3 linked regions of the Oryctolagus cuniculus genome follow. The protein of the gene in region 1 purifies or fractionates together with the protein of each later gene. This does not show direct contact. Links are inferred from orthologs where the notes say so. Each region holds a gene or a part of one and is shown in the gene's direction. Other genes may lie near its edges.

What was found.
Region 2: the proteins of MBIP (region 1) and KAT2B purify together in Homo sapiens (affinity purification with mass spectrometry; 4 studies listed by BioGRID and IntAct, counting the BioPlex papers as one, with this or other methods). This does not show direct contact. The link is inferred for Oryctolagus cuniculus from reciprocal best matches to the Homo sapiens genes MBIP and KAT2B.
Region 3: the proteins of MBIP (region 1) and ZZZ3 purify together in Homo sapiens (affinity purification with mass spectrometry; 4 studies listed by BioGRID and IntAct, counting the BioPlex papers as one, with this or other methods). This does not show direct contact. The link is inferred for Oryctolagus cuniculus from reciprocal best matches to the Homo sapiens genes MBIP and ZZZ3.

Annotation. Positions count from the first base shown.
Region 1 is NC_091443.1:39,337,687-39,341,338, forward strand, and holds part of MBIP (MAP3K12-binding inhibitory protein 1), read left to right. Parts: intron 1-1,645; coding exon 1,646-1,743; intron 1,744-3,447; coding exon 3,448-3,486; intron 3,487-3,652. UniProt on the Homo sapiens protein: Inhibits the MAP3K12 activity to induce the activation of the JNK/SAPK pathway. Component of the ATAC complex, a complex with histone acetyltransferase activity on histones H3 and H4.
Region 2 is NC_091435.1:155,735,772-155,739,423, forward strand, and holds part of KAT2B (histone acetyltransferase KAT2B), read left to right. Parts: intron 1-684; coding exon 685-876; intron 877-3,652. UniProt on the Homo sapiens protein: Functions as a histone acetyltransferase (HAT) to promote transcriptional activation. Has significant histone acetyltransferase activity with core histones (H3 and H4), and also with nucleosome core particles.
Region 3 is NC_091438.1:94,227,562-94,231,213, forward strand, and holds part of ZZZ3 (ZZ-type zinc finger-containing protein 3), read left to right. Parts: intron 1-128; coding exon 129-276; intron 277-358; coding exon 359-474; intron 475-1,530; coding exon 1,531-1,602; intron 1,603-2,853; coding exon 2,854-2,955; intron 2,956-3,243; coding exon 3,244-3,339; intron 3,340-3,652.

The DNA of each region.
Region 1 (3,652 bases):
GTTCCAGAAGGTCCATCTCCTGCTTCGCAAGGCATACTGGCAGGAAGCTGCGATGGAAGCGGAGCAGCCAGAGCTTGAATTGCCTCTCTGATAGGAGCCTCTGTGTGAAGAAGTCCAGTCAGTGCCTCCGTGGCCCAGTGAAGCTTGAACTTGCTCTGATAAGGTGCGGGGATTCTAGGTAAACAGAGCAGCAAAGGAAAATGAATAAGTCACTCATTTCACTTTACTCAAGAGCAAGAATAATTGAGGTCAAAAGATAGTTTTCTGGAGTTTATATATATGTTAAAGATTTATTCATTTATTTGAGAGGTAGAGTTAGACAAGGAGAGACAGAGAGAGAGGTCTTTCATCTGCTGGTTCACTCCCCAAATGGCCACAATGGCTAGAGCTGGGCTGATCGGTAGTCAGGAGCTTCTTCCAGGTCTCCCAGCCGGGTGCAGGGGCCATCTTTGACTGCTTTCCCAGGCCACTAGTAGGGAATGGGATTGGAAGTGGAGCAGGTGGGACACTGGTGCTGCAGGCAGCAGCTTAACCTACTACACCACAGCACCAGCCCCTGGTTTTTATATTTAACAGGTTGATACTTTTGATAGGAAATGCAGTCTTTATATGTGCAACAATCTTCTGATTGTTCATTCCGTACACACTGAGCACCTGCTTCGTGCCAGGCACTGTAGTCTAGGAAATGATGCTTCCTAGGTTTCTGTAGTATAAAGTGCTGGTGGTAATAGTATTCTTTAAAGGATGGTCAGAGAAAGCCTTATTTTGAGCCAGGACCTGAACTTGGCGAGAGTTAGCCTTGGGATTTTCAGAGTAGAGGGACAATTGCTAAAGCTGTCAGGTGTGCATCCTTGTTAAATAATATCAGAGCAATCAAGTGGCTGGAAGCATCTGAGTATGGGGAGAATGGCCAGGGTGTGGTGAGCCATGTAGGCCATTATGGGCTTTGTTTTTTTAGTCTAAGTGAAATGGTTTGAACAGAGAAAGGACAGTACCTGACTTGCATTTTGGAAGGATCACAGATGCTGTATTGGAGACCAGTTTGAAGGTTTTGATCATGCAGGGAGAGGTGGGCGTGGTCTGAACCAAAGTGGTCACAGGGGAGGTGGTGAGAAGTGGGATTTTGGATGTAATTGTGGACTTGAAAGTTGAGGGCCCTCAATTACCTGTCCCTCTTCCCCAAAAGTTTGTTAATGCAAATCTGTGGGAAAGCTGCTTTTCAATACTTTTCTGGGACAGAGGAGGAAATGTGGCATGTAGGGAGAAATGTAAATAGAAGAAAGTAACGATAGAACATGTTGCAACCCCTGAGTTGTCATGTGTCCCTGTGTATGTTTCTCCTGCCAAGTAACTACCAAAGCCCAACAGAAATGCAAATTGATCTTTACAGAAGCTATTCAGTGTCTTGTGAAATGAATGTAGTGGAAAACAGGACTCCTAGCCAAAAAGGAAGAATTATTGGTGTGTGGCGAGAGGATATGTCCAATAGTGTATAACATGGAAATAGGAGCTAAGGATTTCATTCTGACTTTTGTTTGCTTATTTCCTATTCCTTTGTATAAGTGTCTTTGCATGGTATTTTAAGAATAAAGGTTGTAAGAAGAAACATTGAAGAATGTCTCAGAAATTTTTATTTTGTATTTAGGTGGTCCAGTGCCAAGAGACATTTATCAGAGGATTAAAAAACTTGAGGATAAAATACTTGAATTGGAAGGCATCTCTCCTGAATACTTTCAGTCTATAGTGAGTATAAGTATCTTTTAAAAATAACTAAAGGCAATATTTTAAGATTCTTCATTGTGTAACATTTCATTCATTGATCTATATGTGAAAACAGTTTTAATAGATAGATGAACGAACACAGTCCCATGTTAGGGGTTTCTTTGAAAACTCCCAATTTTGCATATTTTTAAAAGGATACTTTTATAGCTCTCTCAAATTCTCAGACATGATCCATTTTTGCAGCACAATCTGTCAGCCTGGATAGTGGAGGATGCCATCCCTGTAAACTTGCTATTTTGAATCCGAGGCTTCCTCTGAAACCATGCTTTGTAGTTAGCCCTTCTTTGACTTCATCCCTCTCTCCCCACACACTCCTTCCCTCAACTCATACCTGGTACCTTTCCTCATACCAGACCTCACACTGCCACCTGTTTTACTTAAGTCCTCAGTTCTAGCATTAGTTCATTTTATAGCACTTACCACTTATAATTATGTTTACACATCTGTTTTTCACTCTGTTTTGAAACTCTCAATGGCAGGAACTGTGTCCTCATTCTTCAGTACACAGAATATAGACATGGAGTAAATGTGCAGATGAGTGGATGGGACTGATAGTTTATTATTGGACTTTTGAAAGTGCTCCAAAGCAGAGCCTGGACATAAATTCCAGTCTGTAACGCTAACTCTTTTAAAAAGTAGTATCTGGGGCCAGGAACGCTGCAGGTCAAGTCAGCATCATGCCTGGAGGCCCTTTGTGAGTGAAAGTGAGTGGTGAACCTGAGGCCGGAGCAAACGGTTGAAAGCAGCTGGATACAAATTAGAAAACATTTCAGAGGGCTTTGAAGGTCACATTAACCAGTTTGCACTGTCAGAGTCACTGGAACACATTCTAGTTTTTGAGAGAGTTGTCATCTAAGTCCCCTTCTAGCGGCATTATGAAGTCTGAGTTGGAGAAATTGGAGTCAAGGAAGCGGGACAAAAGAAAAAAGACAAAAAGAAGACAGGGACAAAGCTGGAGAGCAGTGGGACCAGAGGGAACATTTAGGACCTCGGTGTGCAGATTCAGTTGCGCTTTAACCACTTTCTTTGCTTTTAATCAGTTGTAGTCATGGGAGAGGCCTCCTTACTCTTGAGTTTCCTTAGAGCGTGGCTCCCTGGACTTGCATGTTTTCCAGTGGGATGTGGGTATTGTAACCATAGCTAGCCGGTACCTGCTAAGATAAAACAATGGAAGCTGGGTCCCAGCTGTTTCTTTAGTGTGTTGTGCTCACAATTACGTGTTTAGGTGCCCATGCCTGGGTAACCACAGTGCCTGCTACAGTGAATCAGGGTTCATCCCTTGGTCTGGTGCCAAATTCCATTTTCCTCTTTATTGCTGCTCTGGTTGTTCAGTGTTGGGGGATAGAAAGGTTATAAAAAGGACATTAAGTGAAAATCCCCAGGACACCGCCCCCACACTCAGTCTATTAGAAGTGGCCCATAACAGGAGAGTGAGTATGGCAGAGCCAAGTGTGATGCTGCAGTGTCACTACTGTTGGGTACTTCCACTGTCATGATCTTCCGAAGCCAACTTCCCGTTGGTTGCAGATACTGTTTTCTGAGTTTATGGGCATTGTTTCTGTCAGGGTTATTAAAAGCTCTGTGTTCTGTATAGTAATTTCTAAAGGGAAAACGATGCTTACATTAACTAAATATTGAATACTTTTCTTTTAACATTTATTCTAGAACTTTTCTGGAAAAAGAAGAAAAGTTCAACCCCCTCAGGTAAGTTGAATTACTACGTTTTTGTTTTGTCTTCTGAAACTGTTCAGTTTGGTTTTTGTTAAGGTACAGAGGTCTTCCATCGACTGGTTCACTTTCCAGTGCCTGCAACATCTAGAGCTAGGCACTCTCCGTTCAGGTTTCCCAAGTTGGATGGCTGGGACCAGGA
Region 2 (3,652 bases), on another chromosome or scaffold:
TCTGCCTTGTGCGATGCTCAAGTGTGTTTCTGACTTTGAGACTGAGTCACTGAGAAGTGTACCTTGGCGACACACTTCCTGTGTTTTGACTGAGTTTTGAACAGTGAAGATCTTTATCTTCCCACCAAAGCTTTGGTGGTATGTAAGTGCCGTGTAGGCATTTTAAAGAAGCCTTAACATTTTCTCAGGTGGTAGAATCCTGATTTGTTCACAAAAGGGACTAATTCAGTGTCTCCTTTATTTTTTTCTTTTATCTAAATTACTGTTTGTGCGCCATAAACGTGAATGACATTATGCACTTTACAGACGATAACCTCATTTAGTGCTCACAGGAATCCAGTGAAGTAATTATTGTTGTTCCCATCTTACAGATAAGGAAGTGGAGACTGAGTAACATAATTGTATTTCCAAAGTTACGCAGCCACGTGGTGGCAGAGCAGGGATTTGATCACAGGGCTGTTTGGCTCTGGAACTGTGCGTGAAGCTGAAGAATGGGGTGGTTTCACAGAATTCCGTCCAGGCGGTATTGCGGGGTCATGTACCGTGACTCCCAAGGTGCAGGAGCTGGTGGTGATGTTGCTTGTCACCGAAGGCCTCATTTCCCGTGTGGGTTACTGGACTTGGATACTGCAGATGACCTGGGGTTTACAGGATGTTGATGGTGCTTATCTCCTCTTGTGGCAGGTGGCTGTGTTACTGCAATGTGCCACAGTTCTGTGACAGTCTACCTCGGTATGAAACCACCCAGGTGTTCGGGAGAACGTTGCTTCGCTCAGTCTTCACCGTTATGAGGAGACAACTGCTGGAACAAGCAAGACAGGAAAAAGACAAACTGCCTCTTGAGAAACGAACTCTGATCCTCACTCATTTCCCAAAGTAAGGGCGAGCTCTTGCTGGTCTTTGGCCCGGGACCTGTGGTTTTGCTAAATATGTGCCAAAATATGCATAAACAACAAAATTGGGAATGATAGGAGAAGCTTTCCACAAAGGAGGCAGAAAGGCCCTTCAGTTCCCTTTGTGAGTCTTCTTGGGTGTTTTCCAGTCTTCATTAGGTTGGCTTGATGTTGTCCACAGCCATTGCTCACTTTGCCCTACCTCCTTCTACCTCTGCTAATGTCTCTGAGCCTCATAGAATGGGGCAGTGCTTTGTTTTGTGTATCAGGTGCCAGGAAGTTAGAGGAGGAAGGAGAGAACATGTAGATACACTTTACCGCCTTTCAGAAGTGGTGCAAAGAACTCAAGAGGCTGTTTTTGTCCATTCCAGTTCTCCAACACTTCCTAAGTACCAGTGAACCTCTCTACCTCCCCAGTCTTTGGAATCCATGCTGAAAGAGCAGTGATGAACAGGACTAGAGGCTTCCTTCAGCCTGTCCTTTGTAACTCTTAATTTGTTGTATATTCTCGCTTCTTGGACTTCTGAGAGCTCCAAGACATAAATAATAATTTAAATCTTTTCCAATGAAAGAAATGTGTCAAAGCAATGGGAAGTTCCAGTACTGCGCCATTGGCCTTGGGAATGCATTTTCAGAGCTAAGAACCAAAACTTGATGCTGAAGGGCTGTCTGCTGCCTAGAAGGACTCCAGGTGCAGCTGATGGCTTGTCAACAGAGTGATGGTAGCAGGACACGAGTGAGACAGTTCATTTTGTGGTTGTCACGCCACCTCAATCAGCACTTCAGAGGGGGAGGTAGAAGGTTGAATTTGAGTAGGCTCTCTAGGTATGACATGGCTTTCCTTCCCCATGTCAGTGAGAAGTGCTGATACAGAGAATAGAAATTGAGAGAAAATTTATATTGTTTCATCAAGGACTGATGAAGTATTTTTTAGTTGAGAAACTAGATTTTTATTATTAAGATATACTTTAAGAGCCGGCGCCGTGGCTCAGTAGGCTAATCCTCCACCTTGCGGCGCCGGCACACCGGGTTCTAGTCCCGGTTGGGGCGCCGGATTCTGTCCCGGTTGCCCCTCTTCCAGGCCAGCTCTCTGCTATGGCCAGGGAGTGCAGTGGAGGATGGCCCAGGTGCTTGGGCCCTGCACCCCATGGGAGACCAGGAAAAGCACCTGGATCCTGGCTCCTGCCATCGGATCAGCGCAGTGCGCCGGCTGCAGCGGCGGCCATTGGAGGATGAACCAACGGCAAAGGAAGACCTTTCTCTCTCTGTCTCTCTCTCTCACTGTCCACTCTGCCTGTCAAAAAAAAAAAAAAAAAGATATACTTTAAGTTTTAAGCTTTTTATTCAGTGAGAAATGCATAGGAGAGTGAGGGCCCTATCTAAGAAAGAAAGGGAAATCTGGATTCATACTGAGTACCAGGAGCCAGCCACGTGGAGGAGCATGCAGGCCAGGAAGCATGGGGCAGGTGGCTTGAAGGTCACTTGCCCCAAAGGCACGAAGGCGCCGGGACAGTAAGCAGGTGCAGGGACAGCAAGCAGGCCCAGGGCAAAAGGGAAAGAGGCCAAAAAAGAGGATGGGCCCATCGTGTTCCAGGCCTTTACTCCACTTCCAAAGGGGAATGGTTAATTAACCGTATTGGCTGGTGGGCACACAGGTGTGGCCAGGTAGGGGCATGAGGTCACACAGGAGGCATGGTGAAGGCATGGTCTTGCAGCCCACAAACCTGATCAGTTTTATCCTGTATGCCTGCCTACAACATTCCCCTTTTAGAGACTCCATTCTCTTAATCTTAAGGGATGTTGAAGGGTGTCAAATCATCATGTCTTCTATAGCTGCTTCCTGCTTATGAAGGGCGTAGTGCAGGCCCTGCGTGACCTGGGTCTGGAAATCTCTGTCTGTCTATAAGATATGCTTTTGCATTACCCAATCCTGCCTTACAAAAACTGGTTTTAATTCATAAGAAGAAGTTAGGCCAAGACAATAACAGTAACAAAAATAGTTTTCTGATAGTGATTGAAAATCACTGGGCCGTTTAACCCAAATCCTAAAGTTTAGGTACAGGATAGCATGGATAATTTGAATGAGCTTCAGCTGAACACCCATTTTTTGCCTACATATCCTAGCATCCTGATTGTCAAATTTTTCTTAAGAGAACCAGCGCACAAGACTGAGGCATGATGTGGACATTTTAATGTCCTCTGAGAGGAGGATTCCAAAGCATTGTAGCTTTAGTTTGAACCCTAAAATGGGTTATGAATTCTGGGCATGCTCATGTATTTCAGTGGCATCCTTTTGACTTATCTAAGCTCTTCTCTTTAGAGATTAAGCCAGTTTTCATATTTATCTTTCTACTGCACTTGCCATATAAGCAGTGTTGTATGTTTTCAGATGATAGTTGCTATTCTGTCTCTAAGCCAAGGACCAAGGGGCAGAGGACCCCACTCCCTGCCCCCCCAGCACACACACCTGTTACGGTGCTTACAGAGAAATTCTAATGGTTTTGCAAAGTTACAATTTTTTTCATGGAAAATTCATTTTGGTTTTTGTAGATATTTGCTAATTATAGTGTGTTTTGTTCCTTCAGCCCATAGTTCTGGCATGCTTATGCTGTTGAGCTAAAAAATTAACACTGCTTTCTTTTCTTCTCTGTTACTAATGGTAGGGTAAAACTACCACCCACTTCTCCTTTTAAATCCCTTTTCACTGAATACGACAACATTTGAGGTGGTTGGGGATTTGTACCTAGAGTTTTGGCAGC
Region 3 (3,652 bases), on another chromosome or scaffold:
AGAGTGAATAGAAATGTTTAGTTGATTATTTGGATTTGCTGTCATCTGAAAATTTGATTATAGTTTATTATTTTTTGAATTAAATTTAAATAGTCACTTGGATTTTGTTGCTGTTGGTTTTTTTTCAGGCTGATATAGGGCTTCCATATCCACAGAGAGTTGTTCAGTTGCCTGAAATTGTATGGGACCAATATACCAATAGCCTTGGAAACTTTGAAAGGGAATTTAAAAATCGTAAAAGACATACTAGGAGAGTTAAACTAGTTTTTGATAAAGGTAAGAAGTTATGTAAGAATTTAAATAAAAAAAATCTGACATTGTCTTACTTGCTTAATTCTGTACATGGTCTTGTTTTTAGTAGGTTTACCCGCTAGACCAAAAAGTCCTTTAGATCCTAAGAAGGATGGAGAGTCTCTTTCATACTCTGTGTTGCCTTTGAGTGATGGTCCAGAAGGCTCACACAGTCGTCCTCAGGTGAGCAGTATGAAACATTGGAGTAGGAAAATTTGAATTGTAGATGAAATGTTTTAACATTTTACAGGTTTATGATTTTTAAAATTAAAGCAGTCTTTAACTGGAACATGATCTTTGAAGTTTGGAGAAGCACATTGGAGTCCCATCTTGCTCCCTGTGGAGCCTTAGATATCATTTATGTTATGTTAAAATCTCCAAGTTACAGTTTCCTCTAATATTAAATGAAATTAATATTACCTATATTGTAAAGTTATTGTTAGGATTCAGTGGGTAGATACATTGAATGTTTCTAGTCCAGTATTTGACACACAGTATTGACCCTAAAAATTACAATGACTTTTGGTGTATAGTGGAATATTAACCAGGATTTAAGGCCTATACTTGTGACCATTAGATGAACCTAACCAGACATGTTAATTTTCCCACTTTAAAAATGATTTTGTTTATTTAAAAGGCAGAGTTACAGAGAGACTGGGAGAGAGAGAGAGACCTTCCATCTGCTGGTTCACTCCCCAAATGGCTGTATAGGTCAGGGCTGGGCCAGGCTGAAGCCAGAAGCCAAGAACTCCATTCCAGTGTCCCATGTGAACAGCAGGAGCTGAAGCGCTTGACACATTGTACCTGTTTAGGACATATTACACTACTTTCCAGATCAGAAGTGGAGCAGCAGAGTCAGTGTCCAGAGTCTCGGATGGCGCTGCCACACTGTCATCACCCCCCTGCTTTTTTTTTTTTTAAGATTTTATTTATTTATTGAAAGGCAGAGTTAGACTGAGAGAGTTTTCCATTTTGAACTCCCATTTTCTTATTTTCTTTTCTGTAAAATGAAGTTGCTGTCATCTACATCACAGGATTACTAGGATTATAAAATCAAATTAACTACAAGAATGTAAGAGCATTTTATAAATAGTAAAAACTGATGTTTACCTTTAGAAAATAAATTTACTAAAATATGTTGAAATTCTTTAAAAATTTAACAATTTGTATGTTATTTGGCTTTATCAAAAGGTAGTCTTTATTATTGTCCCTTTGACGAAAACCTTGTTTTATGTGCAGATGATAAGAGGCCGCCTTTGTGATGATACCAAACCAGAAACATTTAACCAACTGTGGACTGTTGAAGAACAGGTAATATTTTAAATTGTGTATATTTTAAAAAAAAGTTGTTAATATTAGAGTCAGTGCATTATGAGCCAAGTACATATTGTTTATGGAATCCCTCTTAATCATGAGTTTAAAATATTTAGCTATATTTGTACATACTCTTCTTTACACTAAAAGACTTTTTGGATCTTGAGAATATGTCAACCCCTGTTTGGGGATAATTTTTAAAGGAAGCCTGAGTTTCGGGAGTGGTGTGGAGTAGTTGTTTTGTAATCCAGATTTCTGGGGTTAGGGGGTAGAACATGAGGCCAAGTAAGCAGAACTCAGAGTGCGTTCTTAATTTGTGTGTGGAGGGAATCTGGCAAGGCCATGGCAGTGTTCTCTCACATTCTGGCATACAGTTTAGGATTGTTTTTGGTATTAGGCTAGGATTGTTTGTGGGTGAAGTTTGAGACACATCTGTGACCCATATGGGGATTAACTCCATAGCTATAATGAGTTTAGCAGTTTATAAAAGGCTTTAGGAAACCTTTACTTATTTCAAGCATCCAGATTATTTTCCATATTTAAGACCCTGAAATAATTTAGGAGATGGGTTTTGAATACTTTGAATGGAGAACCACACAAGGAGGGGAAATAGCTCTTAATATTCTAAATCCAAATGAATTTGCATTTTTTGTTAAAAAGTATAGGGGAGAGCCTGGCATATTCCAGCAGGAAAAAGATAGTGGAAATCACTGAGCTGTGTAGAAGACCTGTTTACTTACTTATTTTCTGTTTTCTTGTGCTTTTTAACTTAAGTGAATTAGGTCTTTTTTTTTTTTTTTTTTAAGGTTATTTATTTTGAAAGAGAGAGAGACAGAAATTTTCCTTCCGCTGGTTCACTCCCCAATTTGGCTGCAATTTGGCTGCAAAGGCTGGTCAGGCTCCAGGAGCCAGGAACTTCTTCCCAGTCTCCCACGTGGGTGGCAGGGGCCCAAACACTGTTATTCCTAGGCCACTGGCAGGGAGCTAGATCAGAAGTGGAGCAGCCAGGTCTTGAACTGGCATCCATATGGGATGCTGGCACTGCAGGCAGCAGCTTTACCTGCTATGCCACAGCACCAGCCCCTGAGTCTTATTTTCTAACACAACCCCCAAGTTGTGGAAGGAGGATTACACTTGTATTACAATGTATTACATTGTATGACAATGTATTGTGAATGTATTTATTTATAAATTCAGTATTTCAGATTGAATAGTTGTTTTCTTAAATTTGGTCTTGTGCTTGCTTAGAAAAAACTTGAACAGCTACTCCTGAAATACCCTCCTGAAGAAGTAGAATCTCGACGCTGGCAGAAGATAGCAGATGAACTGGGCAATAGGACGGCAAAACAGGTACTTGAGGAGACAGCTGCGGGTCCTTGGCATGGTTTTGGTAGTTTTTGAATGAAGGCTAGCACAGCTGAATCAGCTGAGCCACCATATCCTTTTTAGCCATGGAGTGCTATAGTATGTGGTGTTAAATAAAAATGTATTTAGTGGCAATTTGAACTTATTCTAGACTTTATGATGAATTTTAAACTGTTAGCGATGATTGATTGACATTTACATTTTAATTTTTAAAAGCTACTTAGATATTCCGTACCATGTCATTATGTTAAAGGGCTTGTCATGTTTCTTTAGGTTGCGAGCCGAGTACAGAAGTATTTCATAAAGTTAACTAAAGCTGGCATTCCAGTCCCAGGCAGAACACCTAACTTATATATATACTCCAAAAAGGTAAACAGAAAATATTTGACAGTAAACTTCAAATTAAATTTATTCAATTTAGAATTGCTATGTAAATGTGTACATATTTGTCAGAGTTGTTTTATTTTAAAAATTATGTTTAGTGTAAGCATTTTATTGGGCATATGCAAAGGATAGGATTCTATTACTGGTACTCAGTGAAAATCACTGAGCTTTAATGATTCTTCATTACTGATGGTAATACTGAGCTGATGGTAGTGTTATTACTGATGGTAATAATAGTGAGTGTTAATGTTATGGTTGAGTGCTCTGGACCAAGTACTGTGCTATAACCTTTTTATAA